4 linked regions of the Pelodiscus sinensis genome follow. The protein of the gene in region 2 interacts with the protein of the main gene of each other region in a biochemical or structural test. Links are inferred from orthologs where the notes say so. Each region holds a gene or a part of one and is shown on either strand. Other genes may lie near its edges.

Region 1 (7,436 bases), on a different chromosome or scaffold from region 2:
AGGACAGTTTTGCTCAGAAATCCTGCAACGTGTAATTGGGTGCAGGCCCAATCCTTGACCTGAATTATTTTAAACTGCATAACTATTTTGCTCATGAAAATTGGAACAGTGCATACTTCCCCCACACAGCTCTGCCAGTGCTGTAGAACCCTGACCTCTGTCACCTAGACCCTGGGCCTTCAAATACAAAATGCCAATGCACTTCTTGATGTGCTGCACCATGGACAGTTCCAATCCTTCCTCCTTGTTTTGCCAGTTCACCACATTCCTTGCCACATGAGCTCCTCGGTGTTCTAGCCCTGGACTTCCACTTATCCTGATAACGCACCACCGTCCTGACCTGCGGCGCCTGCTATTCTGGTCCTGGGTCTCTGGCTCAGCTCCACTGGCGAGTTGCAATCTTGACCTACCCCCTCCCCCAGTTATTCAAGTTTTGGATTTCTTCACTTCGCAGTGATTTGATGATGTGAACAAACATCCACAGGGGATTCTGAAGAGACCAACGCACATTTTCGCTTCTGACTCAAAACCTGAACCCAAGTTTTCAAGGTTCTAGACTACTTCTCAGACCACAGCTTGTTCAGTAAATGCATACAAGTGATGTTAATCAGCATATCCTTAGAGCTAAGTGATCACTCCTGGATTTCTAGAGCAATGAAGAGTCTTATGATGCATAATCTTGCCCAGTACATTTCCATTAGCTATTTTCTAAAGGTATGTTGTTTAAAAGTTCATCAACTAGGAATATTACATTGTGGTTACCAAGCTAATCAGAATTTGTATAGACTACACAATTAGTCTATAGGACTGCTCAGTCCCGGCTCGTGCTGAGTCCAGCAGCCCCTATTATCAAGATGGACCAGCTAACAAGCGTTAGTAGTTACCATGAACCAGCAGCCAGGTTGAGATACAAATATACACTTAAGAAGCAATACCACAATAGCCAACTACAAAAACCATGAATCCTACATTGAGACAGGCTAGATGGTGAAAGTCACCCAAATGAAGAGTGTATTACAGACAACACAGAGCAGAGATTTGTTTAGGATGTGTAAGTAAACATAGAATAGCCAGACTACACAAACTGGCTTTTGTAATGCTATCTTCCTAACGAAACAGAGGAAATACTTGACTCAGCTAAATACCAGGTGGGGCACAGAGACTATGCCAGACCTAGTAGAAAAGCATCCCAAACAGTAATCACTGAACATTAGCATGCCCTATGTGCAACTCAGTTCTGCAGAGCCAGAGAGAAAACAATCCCCATGGGAGAGCCATGTTAGAAGCAAAGAATTTTATTCCCAAAAGGACATACCCTTAGGAACCCAAATCCCCAAAAGCTATAGTCAGGAAAGTCCTAGATTATGGCTTTGCTGGTAAACCTGTAATCTGGACCACATCCCAAGTTTAAGTGCTGCCCTAGCCAGAGCTCACTAGCAGCGCAGTGCAGTATTATGTAGAATAAGTCCTTTGGATGACATTTTAAACTAAGATCCTCCCTGCCCATACCTAGTGGATATGGGAGTGGAAACCAAGGCTCTATTGACAAGTACTTCAGTTGTAAGGCTAAAGATCCCATATGGTGCTTTGTGGAGAGACTAGGAGATCACCAGTGTCCTGTGCAACCCCATTCAGCATCACATACACCTTCCAACGTCCCCAGCTGTTTGCTTTTGCTGCCAGTTTCGGTAAGAGATTGACAGGGTCTCTCTGACCCTCCCCACACTGAATGGCGAGTGGGCTGCTGACAGCAGTCTGGGCCCCCATCCAGAGGCTGCGTGTGCCGGAGTGGGAAACATTCTCCAGGCCACCTGTTCCCAGGAGACCCTGTCACCAACACAGCAAGGGGGGGGAGGGAGGAGGCCTGCGGGGAAGCAGGGACAGGAGCCTGGATCCTTCCAAAGCCGGGCGGGGGTGAGGAGGAGACAGAAGCGCTAAGGCAGGAACTGAGTCCTGCAGCACGGCCCATGCGGGGCGAACCCGCCCAGCCGCCGCCCCCGGAGGGGAACTGCCCCCCCAGACAGCTCAGCCCCCCCCAGCCCCACAGGCTCTCCCTTGCGGTGGGGGGCAGCCCTCCCCAGCAGCGCCGCCCAGCTCCGAGCTAGGCCTCAGCAGGGTCCTGTAGCCCCGCTCCGCCCGCCGGGCCGCAGACACCCCCCCCCTCCTCCCGACAGCCCCCCCGGCCCGCCCCCTCGCGACACCCCCCACCTCCTCCCGACAGCCCCCCCGGCCCGCCCCCTCGCGACACCCCCCACCTCCTCCCGACAGCCCCCCCGGCCCGCCCCCTCGCGACACCCCCCACCTCCTCCCGACAGCCCCCCCCGGCCCGCCCCCTCGCGACACCCCCCACCTCCTCCCGACAGCCCCCCCGGCCCGCCCCCTCGCGACACCCCCCACCTCCGCCCGACAGCCCCCCCGGCCCGCCCCCTCGCGACACCCCCCACCTCCTCCCGACAGCCCCCCCCGGCCCGCCCCCTCGCGACACCCCCCACCTCCGCCCGACAGCCCCCCCGGCCCGCCCCCTCGCGACACCCCCCACCTCCGCCCGACAGCCCCCCCGGCCCGCCCCCTCGCGACACCCCCCACCTCCGCCCGACAGCCCCCCCGGCCCGCCCCCTCGCGACACCCCCCACCTCCGCCCGACAGCCCCCCCGGCCTGCCCCCTCGCGACACCCCCACCTCCGCCCGACAGCCCCCCCGGCCCGCCCCCTCGCGACACCCCCCACCTCCGCCCGACAGCCCCCCCGGCCCGCCCCCTCCCGACACCCCCCCTCCCCCCGGCGGCCCCCCACTCACGATGGCGCGGCCGTAGCAGGCGGCCGCCTCGGGGTACTTGCGGCTGACGAAGAGCCGGTTGCCCTGCTCCTTGTGCTCCTGGGCGCTGTGGCTCTTCTCGGGGCTGCCCCCGCCCAGCCCGGCCGCCGCGCCCCCCCGGGGCCCCCCGCCCGGCCCCCCGCCGCCGGAGCCGCCGCCCAGCCCCGGGCCGCCGCTCTCCTTCTCCTCCTTCCCCTTCATGCCGCAGCGCTGCCGAGCGGGCCCGGCCGGATCCCAGCGGCCTCGCACTGCGACAGCCCGGCCGGCCCGCCTCCGCCCCGCCCGCAGCCCGCGGGACTTCCGGCGGGGCCGGGCCGGTGAGAGGGGGCGGGCGCTGGGAGGGTGAGAGCGGGGGGGGCTGAACGCGTCTGGGGGGCGAGGGGAGGGGGCGGGGCGAGAGTGGGGGGCTCGGAGGGGGAGGGAATGAGGGGGCAGGATGGAGGGGGAGGGAGCAGGGGGATGTCGTGAGGGCGGGGCTCGGAGGGGCAGGATGGAGGAGGAGGGAGCAGGGGATGTCGTGAGGGGGGGCTCGGAGGGGCAGGATGGAGGGGGAGGGAGCAGGGGGATGTCGTGAGGGCGGGGCTCGGAGGGGCAGGATGGAGGGGGAGGGAGCAGGGGGATGTCGTGAGGGGGGGCTCGGAGGGGCAGGATGGAGGGGGAGGGAGCAGGGGGATGTCGTGAGGGCGGGGCTCGGAGGGGCAGGATGGAGGGGGAGGGAGCAGGGGGATGTCGTGAGGGCGGGGCTCGGGGGGGCTCGGAGGGGCAGGATGGAGGGGGAGGGAGCAGGGGATGTCGTGAGGGCGGGGCTCGGAGGGGCAGGATGGAGGGGGAGGGAGCAGGGGGATGTCGTGAGGGCGGGGCTCGGGGGGGCTCGGAGGGGCAGGATGGAGGGGGAGGGAGCAGGGGGCTGTCGTGAGGGCGGGGCTCGGGGGGGCTCGGAGGGGCAGGATGGAGGGGGAGGGAGCAGGGGGATGTCGTGAGGGCGGGGCTCGGGGGGGCTCGGAGGGGCAGGATGGAGGAGGAGGGAGCAGGGGATGTCGTGAGGGGGGGCTCGGAGGGGCAGGATGGAGGGGGAGGGAGCAGGGGGATGTCGTGAGGGCGGGGCTCGGAGGGGCAGGATGGAGGGGGAGGGAGCAGGGGGATGTCGTGAGGGGGGGCTCGGAGGGGCAGGATGGAGGGGGAGGGAGCAGGGGGATGTCGTGAGGGCGGGGCTCGGAGGGGCAGGATGGAGGGGGAGGGAGCAGGGGGATGTCGTGAGGGGGGGCTCGGAGGGGCAGGATGGAGGGGGAGGGAGCAGGGGGATGTCGTGAGGGCGGGGCTCGGGGGGGCTCGGAGGGGCAGGATGGAGGGGGAGGGAGCAGGGGATGTCGTGAGGGCGGGGCTCGGAGGGGCAGGATGGAGGGGGAGGGAGCAGGGGGATGTCGTGAGGGCGGGGCTCGGGGGGGCTCGGAGGGGCAGGATGGAGGGGGAGGGAGCAGGGGGCTGTCGTGAGGGCGGGGCTCGGGGGGGCTCGGAGGGGCAGGATGGAGGGGGAGGGAGCAGGGGGATGTCGTGAGGGCGGGGCTCGGAGGGGCAGGATGGAGGGGGAGGGAGCAGGGGGATGTCGTGAGGGCGGGGCTCGGGGGGGCTCGGAGGGGCAGGATGGAGGGGGAGGGAGCAGGGGGCTGTCGTGAGGGCGGGGCTCGGGGGGGCTCGGAGGGGCAGGATGGAGGGGGAGGGAGCAGGGGGATGTCGTGAGGGCGGGGCTCGGGGGAGCTCGGAGGGGCAGGATGGAGGGGGAGGGAGCAGGGGATGTCGTGAGGGCGGGGCTCGGAGGGGCAGGATGGAGGGGGAGGGAGCAGGGGGATGTCGTGAGGGCGGGGCTCGAGGGGGCGAGAAAGGGGGACTAGCAGGGGCTGGGGAGATGGAGGGAGCCAGAAAGGGTCAGGGGGCTGGGGGTGAAGTGGAGGCAGGGAGATGAAGTAGGAGGCTGAGATGGGGGATCTGGGGGGGTGAGGGGGCTGGGTTATGGAAGGGTCACGGAGCTGACTGGAGGGAAATGGAGGGCAGGGACATGGAGTGGGGGTCTGGAAGGCAAAGGGAACTAGTGGACAGGAGCAGGCCCAGGGTGTTGCAGGGAAATAGAGACATGTGGGGTGGGGTTGTTTATATGGATCAAGGAAAGTTGCAAATTCCCTGGGTGCAGAGAGCCAGGCTTAGAGGCCATGCCTTAGGACCATAGGTGTGAAGAGGTGTAGAGGCCTGCTGAAGAGCAGGGTGGGTGAAGAGCTAGGAGTAGAGAGAGGAGAGAGAAAGCGGACAGGGCCAATAGAAAGTGAAAGAGGTGAAGAGGAAGGATTTGGGGTTTGCAGACACAAGAATCAGCATTTTCTTCCCGTAAGGTCTCTGCCCTGTATTTCTACAAGCATCAGTTTTGTTTATCTTTCTCTTGTAGATCTTTGTGTCCCAGAGCTCTGAAACATGCCACCAAGAGGAGGGTTGTATGATTGTGAAGACCCCATCTACTGGAGGACAGTATTTGGTGTCTACTGGGATGTACTCAAAGCCAAAGGAGGCAAGCAGAAAAAACTTGCCGAGTTGGATAAGTGGTAAATCTTCCAGCATTTAATATGGCTTCTTTTGTACTCTATGGTATGAGGAGGTGCACGGTTCAGTGTAAAATCCCTGCCAACCCAACTCCATTAGTAACAGCCGGGTCTTCCAGAGCATGAGCTTCCTCACAGCAGTGCTCTGTCAGTACCAGCTGCAACTCCAGCAGCATGAACATCTGGGTTCAAGAAAATATTTTGACTCTGTCTACCAACGGATTTTTGTTTCAGGTATCAGGAGGAGCTGCCAGTTGCTATTGCAGGGAGGAAAGAAAAATATCTGACACGGGCTGAAGTAGTGAAACTCATGGAATGGAAACTAGCAGTAAGTAGCTTTCCCAGGTGAATCATTGTATGTAACATTTCAGCCATACAATCAAAGTGTGTGTAGTGGCAGGGAGGGTCTAAGGCTACATTGCAGCTTAAATTGGCAGAAGTGATGTTGCTTGACTGTGTGAATTAAACATCCCCTTGAAAGACATAACGTATGCCAATTTAAGCACCGGCACGGTGTCAGTGAGAGAATTGCTACCAAGACTTGCAGGGACTGGAAAAATTAAACTCACGAGCCATAGAGCAACTACATTGGAGAGCTTACAGTAGTGCAGCTGCACCAGTGCCACTTTAAGCTCTATAGTGTAGTCATAGCCTCAGAGCCTTGAGGTCTGTAACATTTTCAATTACTGGTGGTTTTGAACTCTGATGATTATATTGATTTTTTTTTTAAACATATGTGGTAAGAGTCTGATGCTGTCAGCCTTAAGGCCTCTGTAGTTGGCATCTATTTAATTCTGCTGTTCCTATTTTAAAGGTGTTGCTGTTAAGGAAAAAAAAAATCCAGTCAAATCCTCTGCTCTTTCTGAACCATGCGTGATGTAAGACAGCGGGAGGGGCAATGGCATCTTTATTCTGCCTTTGTGACTCCTTAATTGAGGGGTTATTGTGGGCCCTGACAACTTATAGGAGCCTCAGGCTTGCTGTAATTGCAGTCAGCTACCCTCAGCCCTAAGGGATTGACCCAGTAGTCTGGGATCACAGAAGCATGTGACTTTTCTGCCACATGCAGTTGCTCAGGCTATGTCTTCTACACAGGATCTTACAGTGGAGAGGGTACAGTGACACTATGCCAGGTAGCAGCCTCCTCACCTTTTGAGTCTGGGGATTTGACCCCCCTTATTTAAAAGTTATACTGTTTGCCTCAGTAATAACATCTTAGAATATCAGAGCAGGAATATTTTTTAATCCGAGGTGTCCTGTTTGTTTAATTTTTACATTTCACACAGCTTGGTAATTTTCCTCTCACTAGCATAATAGAGCTGTGCGTGTGTTTCCACTAAAATAGAGGAACTATTATTTCAGTCAGATATATATGTAACATTAATACTGTACACAACTCTTTACAAACAAGGAGGCGGGCTCCCTGCTGCATAATACATTGCATGGGCTGTTGACTCACAGGAGGAGGGGTGGGGAGAAAAGTCCAAGGAAGGAGAGGAGCAGGAAGAAGGTAGGGGGCAAGGTGGAGGAGATGGTGGAAACTAAAGGAAGAGACTAGTGGTGTTGTAATGGAACAGAGGCTTGAAAGGGTGGTCAGAGGAGCACATGCTTAGGAATAGAAGAGGAAACCCCTGAAGCGATGGAAGGAGCTGGGAGCGATGTGCTCAGACTGTGGGTGAGGAAGTTGTAAATCCCACTCTCCAACAAAACCAAATGTTGCTGGAAATTTTTTTTTCATAAGGTCACGCAACACCTTGTCGTCCCCCAGAGCCTCAGTTCTGAGCCTCAGCCCACTTGGCCGTCTCCTTTTCAATAGTCATACAGCTCTTTCCTTCTTTGGACTATGCTTGAGGATAATGATCCCCTCCTGGGTTGTCTTCCTTCCAATCCCAAAACATCTCAACCTGGAAAATGCCAGGAAGGACTCTGCCTCTGGATCACTGGTGGCCCACAGACCGTGGCTTGGGAACCTCTGCTAAAAAGTAATAACCCTGGAAGAACTCATCGTACTCTTTCCACCATATGGGAAGGAACCAT
Region 2 (7,647 bases):
AGCCAGGAATGGCCAACATGCTTTCAGCATCTCCCCGGTTTTTCATGTAGGGGTAACCCCACCACAACTTTTCATCCGTTGCTGTTCTTCTGTAGATGGCCACGTGTTCTGAGTCTTTGTTCTCTGTCTGGAGCAGCAGATGGTTGAGGGCTCTGAGACACAAAGAGGAATCCACTTGCGAAACACACTTGAGACAATACGAGTCAGCCAAGAGGAGATTCTCGTACTCTGAACACTTCATCCCTGGCATAGGTGACTTGTGGTAGCACTCGGGAGGTGCACCCACCTCCTTATACTCCTGCCAACATTTAAATTGTTAAATGGGGTGCCCCCACATTCTCCTCCCTGCCCCTCTGGGTGGCCCTCCCTGCACCCCTCCCCTGCAGGCACCAGTTGCCTTTTGCAATATACCTAAGTGTCACTCTCCTGTGAAGTGAGAGACGGGGGCTGATCTGGAATCCTGCAGTGCTGACCCCAAGGAAAAGGATTATTTCGCTTTATAATCACCATGTCCAATTTTTTACTTGAATGGTGACACAGATTGGGAATATAATAGTGTAGTCGATTAACCGATAAGCTTATCGGTTAATGCTCTAGATGACACACCTTCTCCCCACCCCAAAACTAGTAAATATTTTAGCAGGCAGGCCAGTAGCCTGGCTCAGTTCTGGCTTGTGCCAGGTCTGATACCTACCCCCACTGCGGGTCTGCATTTAAAGTGTATTGGGAGCTGGGCAGGCAGGCAGCCTGGCTCATTTCCAGCTTGTGCTGGGTCCCGAAGCTCAGATTCTCTTTCCCTGCCCCCCCCCCCCCCCGCCCCCCCCCCCCCCCCCGCCCTGATGTGCTGCTGCCACCCTGGCCTGCTGCCTCTTTATCAGAGGCAGCAGCACAGGGCGACAAGCAGACGGTCCACAAAAGGAGCTGGTTTTTAAACTGGCTTGCCTCGTAGACCAGTGCCTGCCTGGCACCCCGCGCTGCTGCCGGCCCCACCCCCAGGGACGACCGAATAGTTGACTAACCGGTAAGAATTCATGAGGTTATTTGTAGGGTTGTCAGATGGTTTCAACAAAAATACCACACACACTTGACATTACATCACAATCTGCATTACATCTTATTTAGAAAATAGTGGACATTTCTATTTTCTCATTTCTATTTTCTCAATTTGTTTCCCGAACAGAGAGCTCAAATACTGGATTGTCCGGTTCAAAACCAGACACCTGGCAACCCTAGTTACTTGACTGTTCAATTAACCGATATTTAACATCCCTGACACGGCACCCCCTGGAAGTCTGGTTTGACCTTCTCCCCAAACTACTCGTTGGGTACTTTTGAAGTGCTGAGGGTATTCTCGTCAGCCTCCATTACACAGAACAGAACAAAGCTAGCCACCATGCAGTGTAGTGTGGGTACGCAGAGCACAACTGGGTATCCGCTTCACTGGGTTTGGAAACAATCCCTGTAATGTGGGAAGCAGCTAGCTCCCAGGACTCAGGCTCAAAAGGGTGATTTTTGACTTTGCTGAGTTTAGACGCAACTAAAAACTTCAGAGTAGGATTTTCCAAAGTGCCCAGTGTTGGTCTAACTCTGCATCCAGAGGGAGCAACATGAGCCCAGGGCTTGGAGTACTTTCAAAACGTCCATTTCATCTAATGAAACAGCAAGTGCAGAAAGCGGAACATGCTCCCGCTCTCTGTCTTGTTCCATTTACACAATGCTCCATTTATAAAGTGAAGTAAATCCCATTCCAGAAGATCGTTTTCTCGGCGGCATTCAGGTGAAATAAATTTCTCCGTCTGTTTGGTGTGGGTCCTTTCTACTCGCTGCCTGCTGCTACTCTCAGACTTGCCAACAACTTGTGGAAGCTGAGAGAAGTATTTTCAAACTTAGTGATGTTTAAAAAGTCGGTATTTTTCCTGTATCTTTTCAACTCAGGCCTGACCTCCGGCCAGTTTGCATCTTCAGCTTCCAAGTAAACGAGTTTAGTTATTCTTACCCTACTTCCTACAGAAATTTGCCCATAACTGTGTAACAGGGTCATCATGCACTTCTGTGATTGGCAGTTCTTGTGGTCAACTGAACGAGGCTTAAAATGGCAGAGGGTGCTGTAGGTCAAGCTTGAAGTCAGTATCAGAGATGTGATGGAAGAGTTGTAGATATCTGCCCATTCTGTCCAGCTCTGGCTAGTTCTTTTTCACAAGATGTTTGTTTAAACTTCTTCCAAAGAGGATGGAGAGAGGCCGTTCTCAGAGGAGACAGATGACAGAGGAGCAATGGTCTCAAGTTACAGAGGGAGAGGTCTAGGTTGGATATTAGGAAAAACTATTTCACTAGAAGGGTGGGGAAGCACTTGAATGGGTTCCCTAGGGAGGGGGTGGAATCTCCATCTCTAGAGGGCTTTAAGTCCTGGCTTGACAAAGCCCTGGCTGGGATGATTTAGTTGGGGTTGGTTCTGCTTTGGGCAGGGGGCTGTGGAATTTGAAAGCTTGCTCTTCAGCATGAAGGAGGAAGAGTAGTAGAAACTTGAGACACACTCCATGGGAGAGGCTGCCTTTTTAAATCTACAGATTTTTAACCTTATTTCAAATGTTACAAACTCCTTTGATCACGTCTCGCCCTCGGTCTGTATTGAGAGCAACAAATGCATTTTGGGAATGTAGATACTGTATTGAATGTAGTGGCCACATCTCTCCTTTGGCTGGGCTAGTGGTATGTTCCATTCACCTCTGAGCTTTGCTGGTTAGCATACTGGTGCCAGGGAATACCGTTTGGTTATTAAAGGAGCGCACTGTGGCCTGATAACAGATTTATTGCCAGGTGCCAATTAGTATCAAATTTAGGTCTTTCTTGGATCATGAATTTGAGGACTCTGCAATGATTTTCCATAAGATTTATGCAGATAAAAGGCCAATTCAGTTGCAATTTTTAAAAAACGTATCCCATTTTTTAAATTTTCTCTTTACGGTTTGCTTTTTATTGAAAGGATGCTTTTGATTTTAGTACAAAAGCGTCCCTAACCTCGGTTTTGATTAGAAAAGTCATGGAAAGACCTCGTGGCTAGGAGCCTAAGTAGAAATAAGCCACGTGTTTTTAATTAACCATTGAAACAATTTACCTCAGGGTGTGGTGGATTTTCCATCATTGCAAGGTATGAGCTTGATGCATGCAATTCTCTGGTCTGTGTCATGCCGGAGGTCAGGCTGGGAGCATGTCTTCAGGTGTAGTGCTACAGCGTCGCCCCTGCACCGGTACCATTGTGCGCCTCTAGCGCGTTCATGGAGAGCTGCTCCCATTGGCAGAGTTACTCCATCTCCCCAAGAGGCAATAACTGTGTCACCTGGAGATGTACTCCTGTCGACCTGGTGCTGTCTACACGGGGGGTTAGGTAAATATAACTACGCCACTCGGATGTGGATTCTTCACTGCCTGAACAACGTGGTTATACCAGGATAGGTGTGTAGTAGAGACCTGGGTTAAGTAATCACAGATGTTCCCCTCTGGCCTTAAAATCTTTGCATCTGTGACTGTAAGTTCTGTGTGTTGAACATTCTACCACCCGCTGCTCCAGAGCGGATGTGCAGTGTTGTGGTACTGATGACTCGTGCGCGTGGGCGGAACATACAGACTCGCAGTTTGTTTGCAGTCGCAGGCAGGTGTTTCTGTTGTGCCATCCATCCTCTCCACCTACACCCGGGGTTCTGATGATGCAGACAGGCTACTGAACGAGAATACCCGAGCCGCTCTGTCGAGAACGTAGCAGAGGAAGACGTGGTCTAGAGAAGGGAAGATGGGTAGAATTCTGGGAGGCTGAGAGGTGTTAGAAGAGGAGGAGCTGGGGGGCGGATTTAAATTCATTTGTAACCTTGGGCAGAGGAGAATATCTGTCCCCTTACATTCTGGCCCGTGCTGCGCGAGCACATGGCTGCACAACCCACCATTATTTTGGACCGACGGAAGCAACTAACGTTTAATTTGCCGTGTGGCCAGCCTGTGAGCTTCACTGCCATTGTCCAGCGCTGTAACATGAGAGAGACTGGATGGTTTTGTGGCCTACAAAATCCTGCAGTTATGCCAGCAAAGAGAATGATAGCCAAGGCTGGCCTTTTGGGCATGCTCTGCTGGGAGAGAATCTACCCACGGGGTGCACAGAACATAACGGATTGCCCACCAGCATATTACTGAGGCAGGAGGGAGTTTTCAGCATGGGAGACAGGATAACATGATCAGCTACGGCAAATCCCATGTGTATGTTGGTACCCTGCCTCTTCCCAGCAAGGGCGCAGGCAGGCAGAGATGATGGATGATTCCATGTATATCACCAAAGCAAAGTGGTTCTGGTTTCAAGCCTATTGACAGGGACAAGATTCCTTTAAAGCCAAGAGAAGTTGCAGAATTGAATTTGCTCCTGCAAATGGCAGCGTGGAGTGGTTACAAGAAGTCTCTTAAGTTTTTTTTTTTTGTGTTGCAAGAATGACTTTCCGTTGACGTATCTATGCTAACTGTGCCACACTTGATATCCTACCCTTCCTCTTCGCCCCCACAGAGGAGCTGAGCTCCCCAAGGCCATGGGAGAGAGTGGAACTTGGAAGTCAGGAGCATGCGGCAAGGGAGATTCAGCCAGAAAAACAATCAGGTGAGGTTCTTCCGGAGACTCTTGTCCACTTGTATGAAATGGAGACTGGAGAACAGGCAGCAGAAATCCCTGCCAGTGCTGAGACCTCGATACCTGTGCCCCTGGGTATCTGTGAAGACTTCAGAGCCTCTGAAGAAAGCCAAGAGGCAATCTCCAGCACTTTGTTTACTGCGCCCTGGGACCGTGGTGGCAAAGAGGATGCTGGAGCGAGGAAAATGTTGGCCGATGACTTTGCCACATCTGCAGTTTCTGAATTCTCTCGGAGTGGTCCAAGTGATGAAATGTCCCATCGCGAGACACTTGCTACTCGGTTTGAAAAGTCGCCCCTGGGTGTTGATGATGTGGGGTATGATCCAAGGGACAGCTCCTGTATCAAAGGGGGGCCATCTCCTTTACATGCCAGCGGCAAATTGAAAGAAGAGGCCTCTGCGCAGGAAAAAGATGAGGACCGCGACATTGACGAAACTGTTCAGCAGGGTTCACCATCCTCATTATGCCGACAAGACTCGATGCTTGAAGCATTTCCCCATCCAGCCGCGGCCGAGGAAGCTGTAGAGGTGGATGCAGAAGGCAGGGAAGCTCATAAAGTGGCAGAGACTCTAGATGACACTCAACGGTGGCTGTCGGGGAAAGTGTATGATGCTGTCGTCCCGATGGAGCCCTCCGTAAGGATGTACCAAGTGGAAGTGGAAGCTAACGTAATAAGGGAGAGGGAAATCTCAGCTTCTCCACTAGAAGCAGCCACGTTTCCCGATAGGTTAAAAAAGGACGTGGCAGATGGAAGCGTTTCCGTGCAACAGGAGACGGGGGGAATGGTGCAGGCCATGGCAAAACAAGAGGCACTCAAAAAGAAACCTGCAACTCACATGTCAGAGAAACAAGTCAGTCGGGTTCCTCGTTTAAAAGGTGTGTGCATCTCGTTTTCCTGCTCCGCACTTGCTTCTCCAATGAGTTGCTTGGGGCAAGGCTGCTACAACCTCTACTGGCACCCCTTGCGTCCTGCTGCTTGAGAGTTGGCCGTAGGTGTTTGTGCCAAACGAATTCAGAGAGTGCTGCTGCTTTTCTCCCTCAGTTTATGCCTCGCCCTTGGTTTGGTTCATTGGCCTCACCCTCCGCTTCAGTTCTTGCTTGGATGCTGGCGTGCTCCCGGTTGTGCTTTTCTCCCTTTTCTTTTCAGTGTCTTTCGGTTGATCACAGCTGCTATGTAGGCTCTTTGATTTCACCCACCACTCTAAATAGATATAAAAGAAAAGTGTGAGAGGGACTTGTTCTGGGCATTAGCCTCCCTGGAGTAGCGTTGACACAGAGCAGGCTACATAGTTTCATAGCCGTTGCTAGTAAAGCGCATATGGCCAGGGGAGCCGACCCGTTCTGCGGGCCCCAGGCAAGATGGGGCGTCCAGCTCTATACACCCAAAAGGGGCGGGGCTTCAGACGGAAGGGGCGGAGCCAGAGGCAGCCAGCCCTCTGTCGCCCAGTACACGACACCTTCACCTCCTTCAGCTCTCAGAGCTGCCCAGTAGGGACGTTCGATCGCGTGTAGTCGAACAGTCGTGTTACCCCATCAAATTTTAGCAGTTACACGCCATAGTCAGCAGTCAGTGTGCACCCTTCCCCACTCCCGGGGAGCCTCCTGCCACCCTGCACTGCTGCCTCTAAATCTATTTGAAAACCCCCTTCCCATGCAGACCAGCTCCCCCTGCTGCTGCCTCCTGATTGAGGTGGCAGCAGCCCCTGTCTGTGGTTGGCCCGAGCTCCCCATGGACAGAGGCTGCTTTGCGGCAGCCTCCCCTGTTCCCTTCTCCTCTCCCCCTCCCCCCCACACACGCTGCTGTATCTAATAGAAGTAAAGTTAGGCCTGAGAACTGTGTTCCCTGTAAGTTGAGCACTTGGGTGGCCTCCCAGGAGAGATTCAGGTGCCGCCCTGCTGATTAGAGGCAGTTCTATCAGAGGCAGCAGGGTGGGGTGGGGGGGAAGGGACAGGCAGCACCGGCCTCCCCCCGCACTCTGCTGTCTCTGTAGAGGCACGCTGACATCCCAGGGCAATTGCCCCTGTGCCCCACTCGCCATTGGCGGGTTTCCGGCGAGCCAGCCCTTCGTGTCAGTGTTTCTAACAGTGCGAGAGGAGGACAGCAGGCAGGACTGTGTCCTCCCTTTGCAGGCCCAGCACTATGTGCAAGACCACCCCAGAGAGATGGCGGAGTTGTTGGGTGTATTAGAGAGGAGCGAGGTGACACTTGGCTGTGAGATGCCTAAGGGTGTCTGCCGAGAAACCTTGATGCATGTAACTGCTCCGTTAATAGCACTGCAATCAGGTCGCGCTACATTTAGGTGTTCAACTTTGTGCAACCAGGTTAGCTTAACCGGCAAGAGTAGGTGCCTAGATTCAGCCTGTTGGGGCACAAATGCCTTTGCTTGTGTGACAGGCCATTTTTCCTCTGCATTCGAGAGCTATTTCTCCTTTCATCCGAGGGAAACCTTGGGAGGTAGCCTGTTCACTAAAACATGGCTGCTCAGGAGGCTTGCAAGTTAGTGCACAGGCGTGAAAAACACAACGTGAGTTCTTTGGGGGCCAGACCAGGTGCAGCCATCCAGAGTTCGAACGTGTTTCTTCTGCTAGAGACGTGACAGTACAGTCGATTAACTGGTTAACCGATAAGCTAATGCTATAGGCTGCATGCATGTCCTTCCCCCCCCAACCTGCCAGTACATTTTTTAGCAGGCTGGCCAGCAGCCCAGCTCAGTCCTGGTTCGCGCTGGGTCCGGGGCCTACCTCCGCTGCCACTCTGCATTTATAGTGTATTGGGAGTCTGGTGGGCAGGCAGGCTGGTTCAGTTCCAGCTCGTGCCAGGTCTGGGAGTCCAGCCCCTCCTCTGGACAGGGGCTGCTGCCCCCCTGTGCTGCTGCCTCTGCTTCAGAGCTGGTTTTTAAACTGGCTTCTCTTGTGGACCAGTTCCCGCCTGGCACCCCATGATAGAGGCAGAAGCGCAGGTGGTAGGGGGCTCCTCGGGATTG
Region 3 (7,584 bases), on a different chromosome or scaffold from region 2:
GACGGGGGCCCTTTGCGCCGGCCCCACCCAGACTGACCGACCGAGACGGGGGCCCTTTGCGCCGGCCCCACCCAGACTGACCGACCGAGACGGGGGCCCTTTGCGCCGGCCCCACCCAGACCGACCGAGACGGGGGCCCTTTGCGCCGGCCCCACCCAGACTGACCGACCGAGACGGGGGCCCTTTGCGCCGGCCCCACCCAGACTGACCGACCGAGACGGGGGCCCTTTGCGCCGGCCGCACCCAGACTGACCGAGACGGGGGCCCTTTGCGCCGGCCGCACCCAGACTGACCGAGACGGGGGCCCTTTGCGCCGGCCCCACCCAGACTGACCGAGATGGGCCCTGTCATCCCGGGCCCTGCATGGACCCCCACCAAGACAGGGGCCCTGTCATGCTGAGCACTGCAGATCCTGACAGAGATCGGGGGCTTCCTTGGTCCAGGCTTTGTACAAAACGCACAATAGGCGGGTTACCAGCTGAAAGGGAGCACACGATCTGTGGACGGGTTGGGGCTCGGAGTCAGCACCCCCCCCCCAGTGCTCTAACCACTGCCCCCACTGCCCTCCCAGCGCCAGGATGGACCCCAGGAGTCCTGGCTCCCACCCCCAGTGCTCTAACCACTGGCCCCCACTGCCCTCCCAGCACCAGGATGGACCCCAGGAGTCCTGGCTCCCAGCCCCAGTGCTCTAACCACTGGCCCCCACTGCCCTCCCAGCGCCGGGATGGACCCCAGGAGTCCTGGCTCCCAGCCCCAGTGCTCTAACCACTGGCCCCCACTGCCCTCCCAGCACCAGGATGGACCCCAGGAGTCCTGGTTCCCAGCCCCAGTGCTCTAACCACTGGCCCCCACTGCCCTCCCAGCACCAGGATGGACCCCAGGAGTCCTGGCTCCCAGCCCCAGTGCTCTAACCACTGGCCCCCACTGCCCTCCCAGCACCAGGATGGACCCCAGGAGTCCTGGTTCCCAGCCCCAGTGCTCTAACCACTGGCCCCCACTGCCCTCCCAGCGCCAGGATGGACCCCAGGAGTCCTGGCTCCCAGCCCCAGTGCTCTAACCACTGGCCCCCACTGCCCTCCCAGCGCCGGGATGGACCCCAGGAGTCCTGGCTCCCAGCCCCAGTGCTCTAACCACTGGCCCCCACTGCCCTCCCAGCGCCGGGATGGACCCCAGGAGTCCTGGTTCCCAGCCCCAGTGCTCTAACCACTAGCCCCCACTGCCCTCCCAGCGCCAGGATGGACCCCAGGAGTCCTGGTTCCCAGCCCCAGTGCTCTAACCACTAGCCCCCACTGCCCTCCCAGCGCCAGGATGGACCCCAGGAGTCCTGGCTCCCAGCCCCAGTGCTCTAACCACTGGCCCCCACTGCCCTCCCAGCACCGGGATGGACCCCAGGAGTCCTGGTTCCCAGCCCCAGTGCTCTAACCACTGGCCCCCACTGCCCTCCCAGCGCCAGGATGGACCCCAGGAGTCCTGGCTCCCAGCCCCAGTGCTCTAACCACTGGCCCCCACTGCCCTCCCAGCGCCGGGATGGACCCCAGGAGTCCTGGCTCCCACCCCCAGTGCTCTAACCACTGCCCCCACTGCCCTCCCAGCACCAGGATGGACCCCAGGAGTCCTGGCTCCCAGCCCCAGTGCTCTAACCACTGGCCCCCACTGCCCTCCCAGCGCCGGGATGGACCCCAGGAGTCCTGGCTCCCAGCCCCAGTGCTCTAACCACTGGCCCCCACTGCCCTCCCAGCACCAGGATGGACCCCAGGAGTCCTGGCTCCCAGCCCCCTTAGCGTGGGGGGGGGGGGGGATCTAGCCGGGTGAGGGGCAGGGGAATGGGGAAGAACTCAAGGGGCCATTTACCTGCCAGCAGGGTGGCTCCCAGCAGCACAGTCCAGACCTTCATGGCTGCAGCTTTGCCTGTGGGGAGAGAGGCCTGGGGTGAAGGAGGCTGGGGGGGGAAGAGAGAGGCTGGGGTGAAGGAGGCTGGGGGGGAGAGGGCTGGGGTGAAGGAGGCTGGGGGGGAGGCCTGGGGCGAAGGAGGCTGGGGGGGGAGAGGGCTGGGGTGAAGGAGGCTGGGGAGGAAGAGAGAGGTTGGGGTGAAGGAGGCTGGGGGGGAGGCCTGGGGCGAAGGAGGCTGGGGGGGAGAGGGCTGGGGTGAAGGAGGCTGGGGGGGAGAGGGCTGGGGTGAAGGAGGCTGGGGAGGAAGAGAGAGGTTGGGGTGAAGGAGGCTGGGGGGGGAGAGGGCTGGGGTGAAGGAGGCTGGGGGGGAGAGGGTTGGGGTGAAGGAGGCTGGGGAGGAAGAGAGAGGTTGGGGTGAAGGAGGCTGGGGGGGGAGAGGGCTGGGGTGAAGGAGGCTGGGGGGGGAGAGGGCTGGGGTGAAGGAGGCTGGGGAGGAAGAGAGAGGTTGGGGTGAAGGAGGCTGGGGGGGAGAGGGCTGGGGTGAAGGAGGCTGGGGGGGGAGAGGGCTGGGGTGAAGGAGGCTGGGGGGGAGAGGGCTGGGGTGAAGGAGGCTGGGGGGGGAGAGGGCTGGGGTGAAGGAGGCTGGGGAGGAAGAGAGAGGTTGGGGTGAAGGAGGCTGGGGGGGGGAAGAGGGTTGGGGTGAAGGAGGCTGGGGGGGGAGGCCTGGGGCGAAGGAGGCTGGGGGGGGAGAGGGCTGGGGCGAAGGAGGCTGGGGGGGGAGAGGGCTGGGGTGAAGGAGGCTGGGGAGGGTGAGGCCTGGCACAGAGAAACAAGCTGAGGTGCAGAGCCCATAGGAAGCTAAAGCAAGGAAAGCCCTTGCCCTTCTGGGCTGCTGCCCACCCCACCCACCTCTGGGCTGCCCCCCACCTGCCCCCAAACCAGCCTCCTGAAGGTTGCAACCTCTGCCTCTCCTCCTGCTGCCCCTCACCCGTCTCCTCCGGCCTGCACTACCCACCCTGTCTTTTCCCAGGCTGCCCTCAGCTCTCGATGCCTGGGCCCCACTTCCTGCCTTAAATACCCACAGCAGCAGCACGGGGGCGGGGTGGGGGCAGAGCCAGCACAAACTCGCCAAGGCAGCTGTAGGGGTGAAGGTTACTTCCCCCCCCCCCCCTCATGGAGCTGCACAGTCCCCCTTGGAGAGTGTTAACCCTCTGCTTGCCGGGGCAGGCGACAGACAAACAGACGTGCTCTCCCCTTGCCCCGTGCTGTCTGCCAGGCCTCCTGTCTCTGCCAGCAAGTAGCCCCCTCAGGGATGGAGGGGCAGGAGGCAAAGGGGAGTCGCTCCTGCCACACTCGGGGGGCAGACCCAAAGGGAGGAATCAGCCCCCAGCAGCATGTGTGTCCTGTTTGCCAAGGAAACCACAGAGAGGATCCAAGTTTAACAAGCTGGGGGGGGTGACCCTGGGGGGTGGACCTGACCCCTAGGTGTTAGGGGGGCCAAGACCTGGGGCTGAGGTTGGTTGTGTGGGGTGGTGCTGGGACCTGCTGTGGTGCCATGATGTGCCTTGTGCGGTGCTCACACCTCGTGCCTCATGTTTGTGGGGAACCCTGAGACCTCATGCTGGGTGGGGTGTGGATGAAAATTCACTACAGCCCCAGACTGTGATGTTTGGAGACCCGTGCGGCCCCCCCTTCCCCCGGCATGCATCTTGCTAGGGACCTCACTCCATGTGGGGGGCAGAGCTGTGGGAACGGATAGAGCGCTCTGCTTGCTCTGGTGCCTGCAGCTAAGCCCCACTGTAACCTGGTGGGGCCCGTGAGAGCCAGCTCCAGAGTGCACCCCGGACCCAGCGAGAGCCAGCTCCAGAGCGCTCCCCGGTCCCAGCGAGAGCCAGCTCCAGAGCGCACCCCGGTCCCAGCGAGAGTCAGCTCCAGAGCGCTCCCCGGTCCCAGCGAGAGCCAGCTCCAGAGCGCACCCCGGTCCCAGCGAGAGCCAGCTCCAGAGCGCACCCTGGTCCCAGCGAGAGCCAGCTCCAGAGCGCACCCTCCCGTCCCAGCGAGAGCCAGCTCCAGAGCGCACCCCGGTCCCAGCGAGAGCCAGCTCCAGAGCGCACCCCGGACCCAGCGAGAGCCAGCTCCAGAGCGCTCCCCGGTCCCAGCGAGAGCCAGCTCCAGAGCGCACCCCGGTCCCAGCGAGAGCCAGCTCCAGAGCGCTCCCCGGTCCCAGCGAGAGCCAGCTCCAGAGCGCACCCCGGTCCCAGCGAGAGTCAGCTCCAGAGCGCCCCCCCATCCCAGCGAGAGCCAGCTCCAGAGCGCTCCCCGGTCCCAGCGAGAGCCAGCTCCAGAGCGCACCCTGGTCCCAGCGAGAGCCAGCTCCAGAGCGCACCCTCCAGTCCCAGCGAGAGCCAGCTCCAGAGCGCCCCCCCCATCCCAGCGAGAGCCAGCTCCAGAGCGCTCCCCCGTCCCAGCGAGAGCCAGCTCCAGAGCGCACCCCGGACCCAGCGAGAGCCAGCTCCAGAGCGCTCCCCGGTCCCAGCGAGAGCCAGCTCCAGAGCGCACCCCGGTCCCAGCGAGAGCCAGCTCCAGAGCGCACCCTGGTCCCAGAGAGAGCCAGCTCCAGAGCGCACCCTCCCGTCCCAGCGAGAGCCAGCTCCAGAGCGCCCCCCCCATCCCAGCGAGAGCCAGCTCCAGAGCGCTCCCCCGTCCCAGCGAGAGCCAGCTCCAGAGCGCACCCCGGACCCAGCGAGAGCCAGCTCCAGAGCGCTCCCCGGTCCCAGCGAGAGCCAGCTCCAGAGCACACCCCGGTCCCAGCGAGAGTCAGCTCCAGAGCGCTCCCCGGTCCCAGCGAGAGCCAGCTCCAGAGCGCACCCCGGTCCCAGCGAGAGCCAGCTCCAGAGCGCACCCTGGTCCCAGCGAGAGCCAGCTCCAGAGCGCACCCTCCCGTCCCAGCGAGAGTCAGCTCCAGAGCGCCCCCCCCATCCCAGCGAGAGCCAGCTCCAGAGCGCTCCCCCGTCCCAGCGAGAGCCAGCTCCAGAGCGCACCCCGGACCCAGCGAGAGCCAGCTCCAGAGCGCTCCCCCATCCCAGGGAGAGCCAGCTCCAGAGCGCTCCCCCGTCCCAGGGAGAGCCAGCTCCAGAGCGCCCCCCGTCCCAGCGACAGCCAGCTCCAGAGCGCTCCCCGGTCCCAGCGAGAGCCAGCTCCAGAGCGCCCCCTGTCCCAGCGACAGCCAGCTCCAGAGCGCACCCCCGTCCCAGCGAGAGCCAGCTCCAGAGCGCCCCCCCCATCCCAGCGAGAGCCAGCTCCAGAGCGCACCCCCCGTCCCAGCGAGAGCCAGCTCCAGAGCGCTCCCCGGTCCCAGCGAGAGCCAGCTCCAGAGCGCTCCCCGGTCCCAGCGAGAGCCAGCTCCAGAGCGCACCCCGGTCCCAGCGAGAGCCAGCTCCAGAGCGCCCCCCCGCCCCAGCGTGAGCCAGCTCCAGAGCGCTCCCCCGTCCCAGCGACAGCCAGCTCCAGAGCGCACCCCGGTCCCAGCGAGAGCCAGCTCCAGAGCGCAACCCGGTCCCAGCAAGAGCCAGCTCCAGAGCGCACCCTGGTCCCAGCGAGAGCCAGCTCCAGAGCGCACCCTGGTCCCAGCGAGAGCCAGCTCCAGAGCGCCCCCCCCGTCCCAGCGAGAGCCAGCTCCAGAGCGCCCCCCCGTCCCAGCGACAGCCAGCTCCAGAGCGCACCCCCCGTCCCTACGAGAACCAGCTCCAGAGCGCACCCCGGTCCCAGCAAGAGCCAGCTCCAGAGCGCACCCCGGTCCCAGCGAGAGCCAGCTCCAGAGCGCCCCCCCGTCCCAGCAAGAGCCTGCTCCAGAGCGCCCCCCCGTCCCAGCGAGAGCCAGCTCCAGAGCGCTCCCCCGTCCCTGCGAGAGCTAGCTCCAGAGCGCACCCCCGTCCCAGCGAGAGCCAGCTCCAGAGCGCTCCCCCGTCCCAGCGAGAGCCACCTCCAGAGCGCCACCCCGTCCCAGCGAGAGCCAGCTCCAGAGCGCCCCCCCGTCCCAGCGAGAGCCAGCTCCAGAGCGCACCCCGGTCCCAGCGACAGCCAGCTCCAGAGCGCCCCCCCATCCCAGCGAGAGCCAGCTCCAGAGCGCCCCCCCATCCCAGCGAGAGCCAGCTCCAGAGCGCACCCCGGTCCTAGCGAGAGCCAGCTCCAGAGCGCTCCCCGGTCCCAGCGAGAGCCAGCTCCAGAGCGCCCCCCCCCGTCCCAGCGAGAGCCAGCTCCAGAGCGCCCCCCCGTCCCAGCGACAGCCAGCTCCAGAGCGCACCCCCCGTCCCTACGAGAGCCAGCTCCAGAGCGCACCCCGGTCCCAGCGAGAGCCAGCTCCAGAGCGCACCCCGGTCCCAGCGAGAGCCAGCTCCAGAGCGCCCCCCCGTCCCAGCGAGAGCCTGCTCCAGAGCGCCCCCCCGTCCCAGCGAGAGCCAGCTCCAGAGCGCTCCCCCGTCCCTGCGAGAGCCAGCTCCAGAGCGCACCCCCGTCCCAGCGAGAGCCAGCTCCAGAGCGCTCCCCCGTCCCAGCGAGAGCCACCTCCAGAGCGCCACCCCGTCCCAGCGAGAGCCAGCTCCAGAGCGCCCCCCCCGTCCCAGCGAGAGCCAGCTCCAGAGCGCACCCCGGTCCCAGCGACAGCCAGCTCCAGAGCGCCCCCCCATCCCAGCGAGAGCCAGCTCCAGAGCGCCCCCCCATCCCAGCGAGAGCCAGCTCCAGAGCGCAACCCCCCGTCCCAGCGAGAGCCAGCTCCAGAGCGCTCCCCCGTCCCTGCGAGAGCCAGCTCCAGAGCGCACCCCCGTCCCAGCGAGAGCCAGCTCCAGAGCGCACCCCCGTCCCTGCGAGAGCCAGCTCCAGAGCGCACCCCCGTCCCAGCGAGAGCCAGCTCCAGAGCGCACCCCCGTCCCTGCGAGAGCCAGCTCCAGAGCGCTCCCCCGTCCCTGCGAGAGCCAGCTCCAGAGCGCACCCCCGTCCCAGCGAGAGCCAGCTCCAGAGCGCCCCCCGCCCCAGCGTGAGCCAGCTCCAGAGCGCCCCCCGCCCCAGCGTGAGCCAGCTCCAGAGCGCTCCCCTGTCCCAGCGAGAGCCAGCTCCAGAGCGCTCCCCGTTCCCAGCGAGAGCCAGCTCCAGAGCACCCCCCCGTCCCAGTGAGAGCCAGCTCCAGAGCGCCCCCCCGTCCCAGCGAGACCCAGCTCCAGAGCGCCCCCCCCCGTCCCAGCGAGAGCCAGCTCCAGAGCGCCCCCCCGTCCCAGCGACAGCCAGCTCCAGAGCGCACCCCCGTCCCAGCGAGAGCCAGCTCCAGAGCGCACCCCGGTCCCAGCGAGAGCCTGCTCCAGAGCGCCCCCCCGTCCCAGCGAGAGCCAGCTCCAGAGCGCACCCCCGTCCCAGCGAGAGCCAGCTCCAGAGCGCACCCCCGTCCCAGCGAGAGCCAGCTCCAGAGCGCAACCCCCCGTCCCAGCGAGAGCCAGCTCCAGAGCGCTCCCCCGTCCCAGCGAGAGCCAGCTCCAGAGCGCACCCCCGTCCCAGCGAGAGCCAGCTCCAGAGCGCAACCCCCCGTCCCAGCGAGAGCCAGCTCCAGAGCGCTCCCCCGTCCCTGCGAGAGCCAGCTCCAGAGCGCACCCCCGTCCCAGCGAGAGCCAGCTCCAGAGCGCCCCCCGCCCCAGCGTGAGCCAGCTC
Region 4 (7,814 bases), on a different chromosome or scaffold from region 2:
ATCATGTTTTCTATTTTTGTGTCTATTTATTGTCCTTGTTCCACTTCCTCCTCACCAATCTCTCTCCCAGTATCCTATTTCTGCTTTCTCATGTACTTTGGTTGCCAATCCTCTGGGTTTTGTCAGAATCAGACTCTATCTTCCATAGGCTTCTAAAGCCAAAACAGGAGATTTTTACACCACTAAAAGTGCAGTGGCACCGCAGGGGTAAGGCAGGCTCCATACTTGCTTTGCCACTATTGGAAGCAACCAGTGGCTCACTGCAGTCCTTGGCAGGGGAGCCAGGGATCTCCACATGCTGCTCTCACTCTGAGCACCAACTCTGCAGCTCCCATTGGCCAGCAACTGCAGTAATAGGAACGGTGGGGGCAGCCACTGCAGGCAACATGCAGGCCTGTGGACAGAGGCCATTCCTGCACACTCCCCCCGCAGGAGCTTTCAGGACCAGCATGGAGCCAGGGAGCCTGTCTTAGTTTCACTATGCCACTGACTGGGAGCCACCTGAGGTAAGTGCTACCTGGCTGGAGTCCCCACATCCTGAGCCCCCTTCCAGAGCCCAGACCCCCTCCTGCACCAGACCCACTGCCCAAGACTAGAGCCCTCCCATCCTCTGAACCACACCCCCTCCTGTACCCTAACCACTTGCCCCAGCCCACTGAAAGTGAAGGAAGAGTGAGGTAGGGGAAATGGAGTGAGCAGGCAGGGCCTCTGAAGGGGCATACTGGGGCAAGGAGTCTGAGTTTGTGCCATTAGATCAGTTTCTCCCAACCAGGGTTCTGCGGAACTCTGAGGTTCCGCAGACCATGGTCAGGGGTTCCACGAGAAATCATGGTATAAATAAATACAAATTTTGAAATACTGTGAACAATTCCAAATATCCCTCGAAATATCGCAGGAATTTTTGTCCGGCAATTGGCAATACTAGAGTAATCTTCGTAGGCTACCAACTGCCTCTTTGTTTTGGTCAGTTTGTATCTAAGGTTATATTTAGTTGTATTGTGCCTGCCCTTCCACTTACCAGAATTCTCTGCATTTAGCAGTAATGAATTGCACTCCCCACTGTCAACTATTTTTGACCACACAAACGTTTTCCTAGGTAGGGGTTCCTCGGGATATGAAAAATTATTTTAGGGGTTCCTCCATAGGAAAAAGGATGAGAATCACTGCATTAGATAGTTGTCAACCTAAATGGATTCCACCAATTTCTCCCTTACACTCATCCACTCATATGCTGGGATAGAAACTCGAATCAGATGTTACAACAGGGGCTAAACCTAGGACCCCACAGCATAGAATAGTATGTAGGAACTATGTTGTGCAGAAAAATGCCTCAGTGAGATAGATGCCAGCTCCTTCCCACTGCAGGAAAAGAAAGAGAGGAGCAGGTGCAGTCTCTGGAGGACATTATTCATCATTCTTGCACTGCAGGTTTTGGGTAGTCAGAGTCTAAAACTGATGGGGAACCTTTTTGAGTCGGGGCCACTGACCCACAGAAAAATCAGTTGGGGGGTTGCACAAAAGGAAGAAGCAAACAAAAACAAAACAAACAAAAACCTCACAGTTCACTGTGGTAGCCTCCAACTGAGAAGCAGACTCTTCCCACAATCCCCTTGTACATCAGAGCCTGGGGGTTTAAGCTAGTAGATTTTGTGGGGCCCCCAAACTCTGAGGTGAGGCTAAAAATGAGAGGTTCAGTGTGTTTGAGAGGGCTGCCTGGAAGCATGCATTGGATGTGGGGTCTGGTAGGGTGGTGAGGCTGGGCAGGAAGTAAGATGCAGAAGTGGAGTGAGGGTACAGGATCTGGGTGGGAGTGGGGGTACAGGAGCAGGCTGGAGATTGGTAGTGGAGAGTCTGGATGGGAGGGGGTTCAGAAGCAGGGTGGAAGTGGAGGGTCTGGGAAGGAGGGGGTGCAGGAGCGGGCTGGGGGTAAAAGATCTGGACAAGAGGGGGGTCCAGAAGCAGGAGTGAGTGCGGGGTTTGAGCGATGGGGGGCACTTAACTGGCACAGCTCCCCAGGAATGCACAGGGTTCGGTGTCCCCTGCTGCTCCTATTGGCTGTGAGTATAGCCAATCAGAGTAGTGGGAGAAAATTCTCCAGGCAGCAGGGAGAATGGAAATGGCAGCATGTGGAGTCATTTCTTTCCCTCCCCCAGGCAGAGCCCCTGAGTTGAATCTGGCCTTCCCTTGCCTAACTCTGTCCCCCAAGGCTCCGGGCTCCCAGCTGCTGGGGGTGGAGTCCTGGGGATCAGTTCCCCACTCATTGTCTAAAAGTGACCCTGCTTCACCCCTGGGGCCATCGGTTCCCCACCCATTGTCTAAAATGCAGGTGGGTAATAAGCAGCCTGCGGACCAGACACAGTTTCCTGGCAGGCAGGGACACTTTATTTACCTGCACATCCACTGGAATGGCTGCTTGCAGCTCTCTGTGGCTGTGAATTGCTCTCTCAGCTACTGGGAGCTGTGGGAAACTGTCCTGGCATGCATCGCTTCCAGCATCTCCCATTGGTCAGGAATAGTGATCCATGGCCAACAGGAGCTGTGACCCACTGTACCTGTAGATGTGCAGCTAAACAAAGTGTCTGGTAGTCTGCCAAGAACTAACCCTGGCAAACTGCATCCAGTCCATGGGCTGTTTATTGCCCAATGTGGTCTAAAAACAAGGATAAATACCCTACACAAGGGCTGCAGGCATAGGCAGAAATTTTGGTGATGTCCAGAATGCCAGAGCCTGCACTCTAATGGCACTCACGCTCTTCCTCCTCCAACTGTTTAAGGCTCTGAGAGGGAATTTGGGTGCTATGTGCAGGCTCTGGGTCGGCACAGGAGATACAGGCTCTGGGATGGAGTTTGGGTACAGGAAAGGTGAGGCGCTGGAGGGATTTGGGGTGCAGGAAATCTGGGGGTACAGGCTTTGGGAGGGAGTGTGAGAGTTGAGGCACAGGGAGAGCATTTGGGGGCTGAAAGAGGAATCCAGGGGCAGGACAAGCCCCTATAAAGTACTGTCTAAGGCTGCAGGAATTCTATTCTCCTAACCAAACTTGCTGATTAGGACGGGGGTCTCAAACTCACAGCACTGGGAGCCATCTGCACCTGAGCAGTTCCACAATCTGGCCCATGCACAGTTGCTGGCATGTGATTCTCTGTGGCCCTTAGATGGTGGTCATACCCTTCCCGCAAATCCAGTCCCTGCTCTGCCCTCTCCCCTCCATTGCACCCCTTACCTCAAGCCTCTTCCCCTGAGCTATGTGGCCTTGGGGATTACCAGAGGGCCTAATGCAGGGAGGAAGATGGGGTCCCCTGCACTCACTGCAGTGACAGGAGCTTTAAGAAAGCGAAGCAATGCAGAAACTGCTCTGCTCCACTGCCATCTCCCAGGTCAGCCCTGTCACTCTGCTTCACCTTAGCAGCAGAAAGTGGAGTGCCCCAATACGGGACTGGCCTGGGAGATGGGGGTAGACCAAAACAGGCTGCTGCTCAGTTCCACTCCCCACAGGTCCTATTGCTGTGGTGAATGTAGGGACAGCCTGCCCAAGTCCCCACAAGCTAACCTGAGTACCTTTGCACATACCTCCCCAAGGCCACAGAGACATACCTGCAGTGGCCCAGAGCTAACATCTGGAAGCCATTCTAGTCCCGCTGCCTTACCTGTGGTGGCAGCTGGGGATGGGGCTTAAATCAGCAAGGGGACAGTCAGAGCTAGGGGATTCATAGGAGGGGGAAGGAGTGTGCAGGGCAGCAGGTGAGGCAGGGGGAGAACATGTGCCGACCTCTCCCCCTGCAGCTCTGCCAGACTGAAGTGCCCACTAGGAAGATATGAGGACTGGCACTGGCCCTAATATAAACTGAGTTTGAAAGCCCTGGGTTATGGTCTCTGCAGCAGCCAGAAAGCTGAGAGTAGCAAATTTGCATCTGCTACCTCTTCCTTCTCCTCTCCATTTAGGGCCTCCTCCCTAGTGACTAACTGCTGCAGGGCTGCCTTCTGCTATTGCTCATCGCTTCGTCCCGCTGTAGGTTTCTTTCTTTATAGCAGCCACCGTCCATACCGAAGTTTAACTTAGCAGCTGAGGTACTGGCTCAGCTGCCCGCGGAGCCGGGCAGGCAGCGCTGCCCCCGGCTTAATCCTGCGGGAAAGCGCCGAAAGGGGGGTTTCTCCACAACTGCACGCTAGAAACTTCTTTGCCTGCTGCGGGAGGAATGGGTGAGTGCGGCGGCGGCTGCCTGCAGGCGCTCATGCGCCAGATCCCGCTGGCTCAGGCCCAGGGGCGGGGGCAGCAGAGGCGGAGGCGTCTCCCGCCGCTGTGCGCAGGATGCAGCGGCTCCGAGCCCTGCCCAGGCAGGCGCGGGGCGCGCGCGCGCGCTCCCCCTGTGTCCGCAAGGTCCCGCGCCAGGGACAAGCCGGGCTGCGGCGGCACCTCCGAGTTCGGAACGTCACACGCCGGTGGCAGCGGGGAGAGAGAGAGAGAGAGAGAGAGAGAGAGAGAGAGGCACCAGTTGCCACGGCAACCAAGCCCCGCCTTCGCCCATTTCTCCCCCTCCTCACGTCAGCGCGGCCTCCCGCCGTGATTGACAGTTACCATAGTAACAGGCTTGTCCCGTCGCCATTTTGTCAGTTGGGTTTTTTTTTTTTCAAATAATTTTCCCTTCCCGCTCGAATTATAATTTTACCCAGGAAACCGTCCTCGCGGGTTTTAGGGGCTCCGTCCCTTGGCGGCGGCAGAGAGGGGACGGGGGGAGGGGGCGGCGGCGCGGGCGGGCGCGGCAAGGAGCGGTCCGGAGAACAGCCCTGGAGAAGCCGGCTCGGAAGGGGGGAGGGGGAGGAGCAGGGGGGGCGGGGAGGGAGGGGAGAGCGGGCGGGCAAGTGAGCGAGGAGTTCCCGGGGGCTCGGTTCGGCGCTGCGCTCCCCCCGCCCGTCCGCCAGCTCCCTCGCTCGCGCCGCTGTCTGCGAGCTGCCTGGCCGGGGCTCGGGCCGCCGCCGCCACCGCCGCGTCCGGGCCCGGCTGCCGCCGGTGGCTGCGCAGGTTTGGAACGCGCGCCATTTTGTGAGCGATAGAAAATCTGCCCGGCCAGGAAGCGCCGCGGATCCGCCCGCCGGGCCGGGCCCCCCCCCCGACTCCCCGCGAGAGGGAGGCGCGTTGCAGGCTCCCTCCGGGGCCGGGGCCCCGCGCCACAACCGGGGCCCGAGGGCGGCGGGACTGGCGGAGCGGACGCGCTGCGGTGCTGGGACTCTTGGCCGAGGCGGGGGAAGCGCCGGGCTCAGCCGCTGCCGCCTCCCCGCAGCTCGCGAGAGGAGGCCTCTGCCGGGACCGGCCCCCGACGGCAGCCGGGCAGGAGAGCAGAGGCCGCCGCCGCCCCCACACGGGTAAGTGCCCTGGCGCCGGCTCCGCTAATGCCGGCCCCTCGACGCGGGGACAGCCCCGCTGCCATCTTAGAGCAAGGGGCCGGGGAGTCCCCGCCCCAGCTTGCCGGGCCGGGCCCGCTGCACCCGCGCCGCCCTGGGGAGGCTGGGTCTGGCCGGGCGGCCGCAACACCTTTTTCTCCCTGGCATGAAGGTGTTGGGCTCTGCGGCCCCCGCTGCCCGGCCAGGGCTGCTCTTGTCGTTCTGGTCCCGGGGGCTGGGAGAGCGGGGCGATGATCCCGGCTGCGGAGTGGGAAGGGGATGGCAGGACTCTCCGGCTGTGACCTTATGGTAGGTGAGATGGGTCGGGCTCTTCCGCAGCCCCCTAGGCCGGGAACGAGTCAGAAGTTGAACAGAGCAGGCACCTGTTGTGGTGGTGGGCTGAAGTGCCCCGTCTGCACTCGGGTTCGCGATTTCTGTGTCAGGTGTGGAAGTTGGAGGTGGGGATGGTGGGAATACTTGTCACGTTACTGTCATTTTGGAAAACCCACAGAGTGCACGTCTTCTAGTCGTTAGCTAGCTGCAGTGTTTGGCTGTGTTGCTAAAGAAGCTAGAAAACATACATCATGCATTTGAGATAATAAACGTTTTTGCTGTAAAGCAGCTCTTTTGCTAACAAAGTCCAAAACTGCAACTAAAGTACTGTAACTAGACATTCCAATAATGATGTGTTTCTGACTCTCTCAGCTGTGTAGTTTCTAGTTTAGTCTTTCCAAGGACTGTGTAAGGATTCTTTGATCAAGAATCTTGAATGCTGGTGCTGCTTAGCTTTCATTATTCTCCAGTCATCAGGAAAAAATCAAACGGAGGTGTTTTTAGCTAATAAATAGAGAGAACTTGTTAAAAATCGACAAGGATAAAATATATGACTTATTTGCATCCCAGAGATAACGTGCAGATAAAATGGTATGTGTTTCCAAACACTTGCAAGTATTACAGTCACTTTTAAATGGACAGTGCTCAAGGTTCTGTACAAATAGAAATTAACTATTTTTATCATTATATTGCTATCAGGTTGTTTTTTTTAACTTATTCCAAATGAAGCTTCCTTAAGAATCCGGAAGTATTCTGATAAATCCTCATTTTTGGTAACTGCAGAATACTGTTGAAATAATTATACTCTTTTGGGTCTGATGTGTTAGTAACTACATTCCAGTATTTGAATGTTAAATGTTACTAGTCTGATTACTGGTTTTCATGTGTTCAGCGAATTTATTAAATATATAAATTGTTCTGTAGATTGGTTTTGGTGTCATCAGCTCATATGAAGAGGTACCTGCAACAAGGGTGTTTTCTATATTTGAGGTTTAATGTAATTGATATAAAGTGTGCATAAGTTTTATTTTTTCTTTCTATTACTTTTTTTGGCATTTATCGTAAGTGTCTAACTTAACAGTGCTTCATACCTGTATCTTGAAGTTAATGTGCAAAGTGAATGCATCTGGTTTAGAAGTTGAATGAAAGAGAGCAATTAGTTTTATAGCTTTACAAAAGGAACAGTTTCTTATTTCTAGATACTGTACAAGTGTTTGCTAAATAAAAAGTACTTTGATATCGTTTCCAGGCTAACAAAAATATGGTAGGACACAATTTATGTCAGTAACTTTATTATATTTACTGAAATAAGATTTGTGTAGGTTTTGAACTTATCTTGTTTTTTAGTGGCCAATTTGAGTAAAGAAGAGTGAGTGAGGATGGTTTTAGTAAGTAGTAGAGGCAAGGAGATTTCTCTGATACTTGTGCTTCAAAAAAGTCCAACGACATGCCAATAGTATTCACACTATGTGTAAGGTGATAGTGATGTGGTCTGTTAAGCATCTGTCTTTTTTTTGAAAGTTTTGGGCTCTGTGTAGATGTTAGCACATGTTAGGTAATGGTCTGGACAAGATGCACTAACTTGACAAGTTTAGCCTGTATTATAAAGCAATTTAACTTGTCTAGACTAGACTTTTTAAAATGGTATGTGTTTTCTAACATGGTAGTACCCCATCTTTAAATCTTAGTCTAGAAAAGGGTTTAAAGAGAAACTTTTAACTGAATTGAAACATTTAGACTGTCTCAACAGGTGAAAGAGTTGTGAGGTCAATTATGGTAACTCGAATGAGCAAAAACAAAAAGGTAGGATATGTATATAGTGTGGTGCTTTTTGCTACAAGAATGTCTGTTTGAGAGCTTTCCTATTGAAAACTTTCCTAATTTTGTGGTGTGGGGTTTTTGTTGTGTGTGGTTGTAAATCTATGAGAAAGTAAGTAAACAAGTAGTTCTGATAAGGGGAATATGTTCTTTTTCACTGGTTATTGGAAGGAGAGAGGAATTATCTCTAGTATATATTGTGCTGATCTTTTAATAACAATTTCTGACCTGATCTGTAAACTCCTCAGAAACAACTAAGCATGCCATGCAGAGAGAATATAAGTGC

Evidence for each region.
Region 1: of the proteins of MAPT (region 2) and STUB1, one has a biochemical effect on the other in vitro, tested with the Homo sapiens proteins (11 studies listed by BioGRID, with this or other methods). The link is inferred for Pelodiscus sinensis from reciprocal best matches to the Homo sapiens genes MAPT and STUB1.
Region 3: the proteins of MAPT (region 2) and APOE form a complex in vitro, tested with the Homo sapiens proteins (2 studies listed by BioGRID, with this or other methods). The link is inferred for Pelodiscus sinensis from reciprocal best matches to the Homo sapiens genes MAPT and APOE.
Region 4: of the proteins of MAPT (region 2) and DYRK1A, one has a biochemical effect on the other in vitro, tested with the Homo sapiens proteins (2 studies listed by BioGRID). The link is inferred for Pelodiscus sinensis from reciprocal best matches to the Homo sapiens genes MAPT and DYRK1A.

What each region holds. Positions count from the first base shown.
Region 1 is NC_134726.1:5,342,914-5,350,349, forward strand, and holds the start of STUB1 (E3 ubiquitin-protein ligase CHIP), read right to left. Parts: upstream 3,016-7,436; coding exon 2,797-3,015; intron 1-2,796. Other genes in the region: uncharacterized protein LOC102443902, read left to right, coding at 5,275-5,402, 5,634-5,727. UniProt on the Homo sapiens protein: E3 ubiquitin-protein ligase which targets misfolded chaperone substrates towards proteasomal degradation.
Region 2 is NC_134739.1:7,126,200-7,133,846, reverse strand, and holds the start of MAPT (microtubule-associated protein tau), read left to right. Parts: upstream 1-4,641; 5' UTR 4,642-4,671; coding exon 4,672-5,539; intron 5,540-7,647. UniProt on the Homo sapiens protein: Promotes microtubule assembly and stability, and might be involved in the establishment and maintenance of neuronal polarity.
Region 3 is NW_027465876.1:424,169-431,752, forward strand, and holds the start of APOE (apolipoprotein E), read right to left. Parts: upstream 3,006-7,584; 5' UTR 2,906-3,005; exon of another isoform or gene 2,879-2,905; intron 1,909-2,878; 5' UTR 1,895-1,908; coding exon 1,852-1,894; intron 1-1,851. UniProt on the Homo sapiens protein: APOE is an apolipoprotein, a protein associating with lipid particles, that mainly functions in lipoprotein-mediated lipid transport between organs via the plasma and interstitial fluids.
Region 4 is NC_134711.1:186,526,231-186,534,044, forward strand, and holds the start of DYRK1A (dual specificity tyrosine-phosphorylation-regulated kinase 1A), read left to right. Parts: upstream 1-4,809; 5' UTR 4,810-5,359; intron 5,360-5,417; exon of another isoform or gene 5,418-5,686; intron 5,687-7,814. UniProt on the Homo sapiens protein: Dual-specificity kinase which possesses both serine/threonine and tyrosine kinase activities. Exhibits a substrate preference for proline at position P+1 and arginine at position P-3.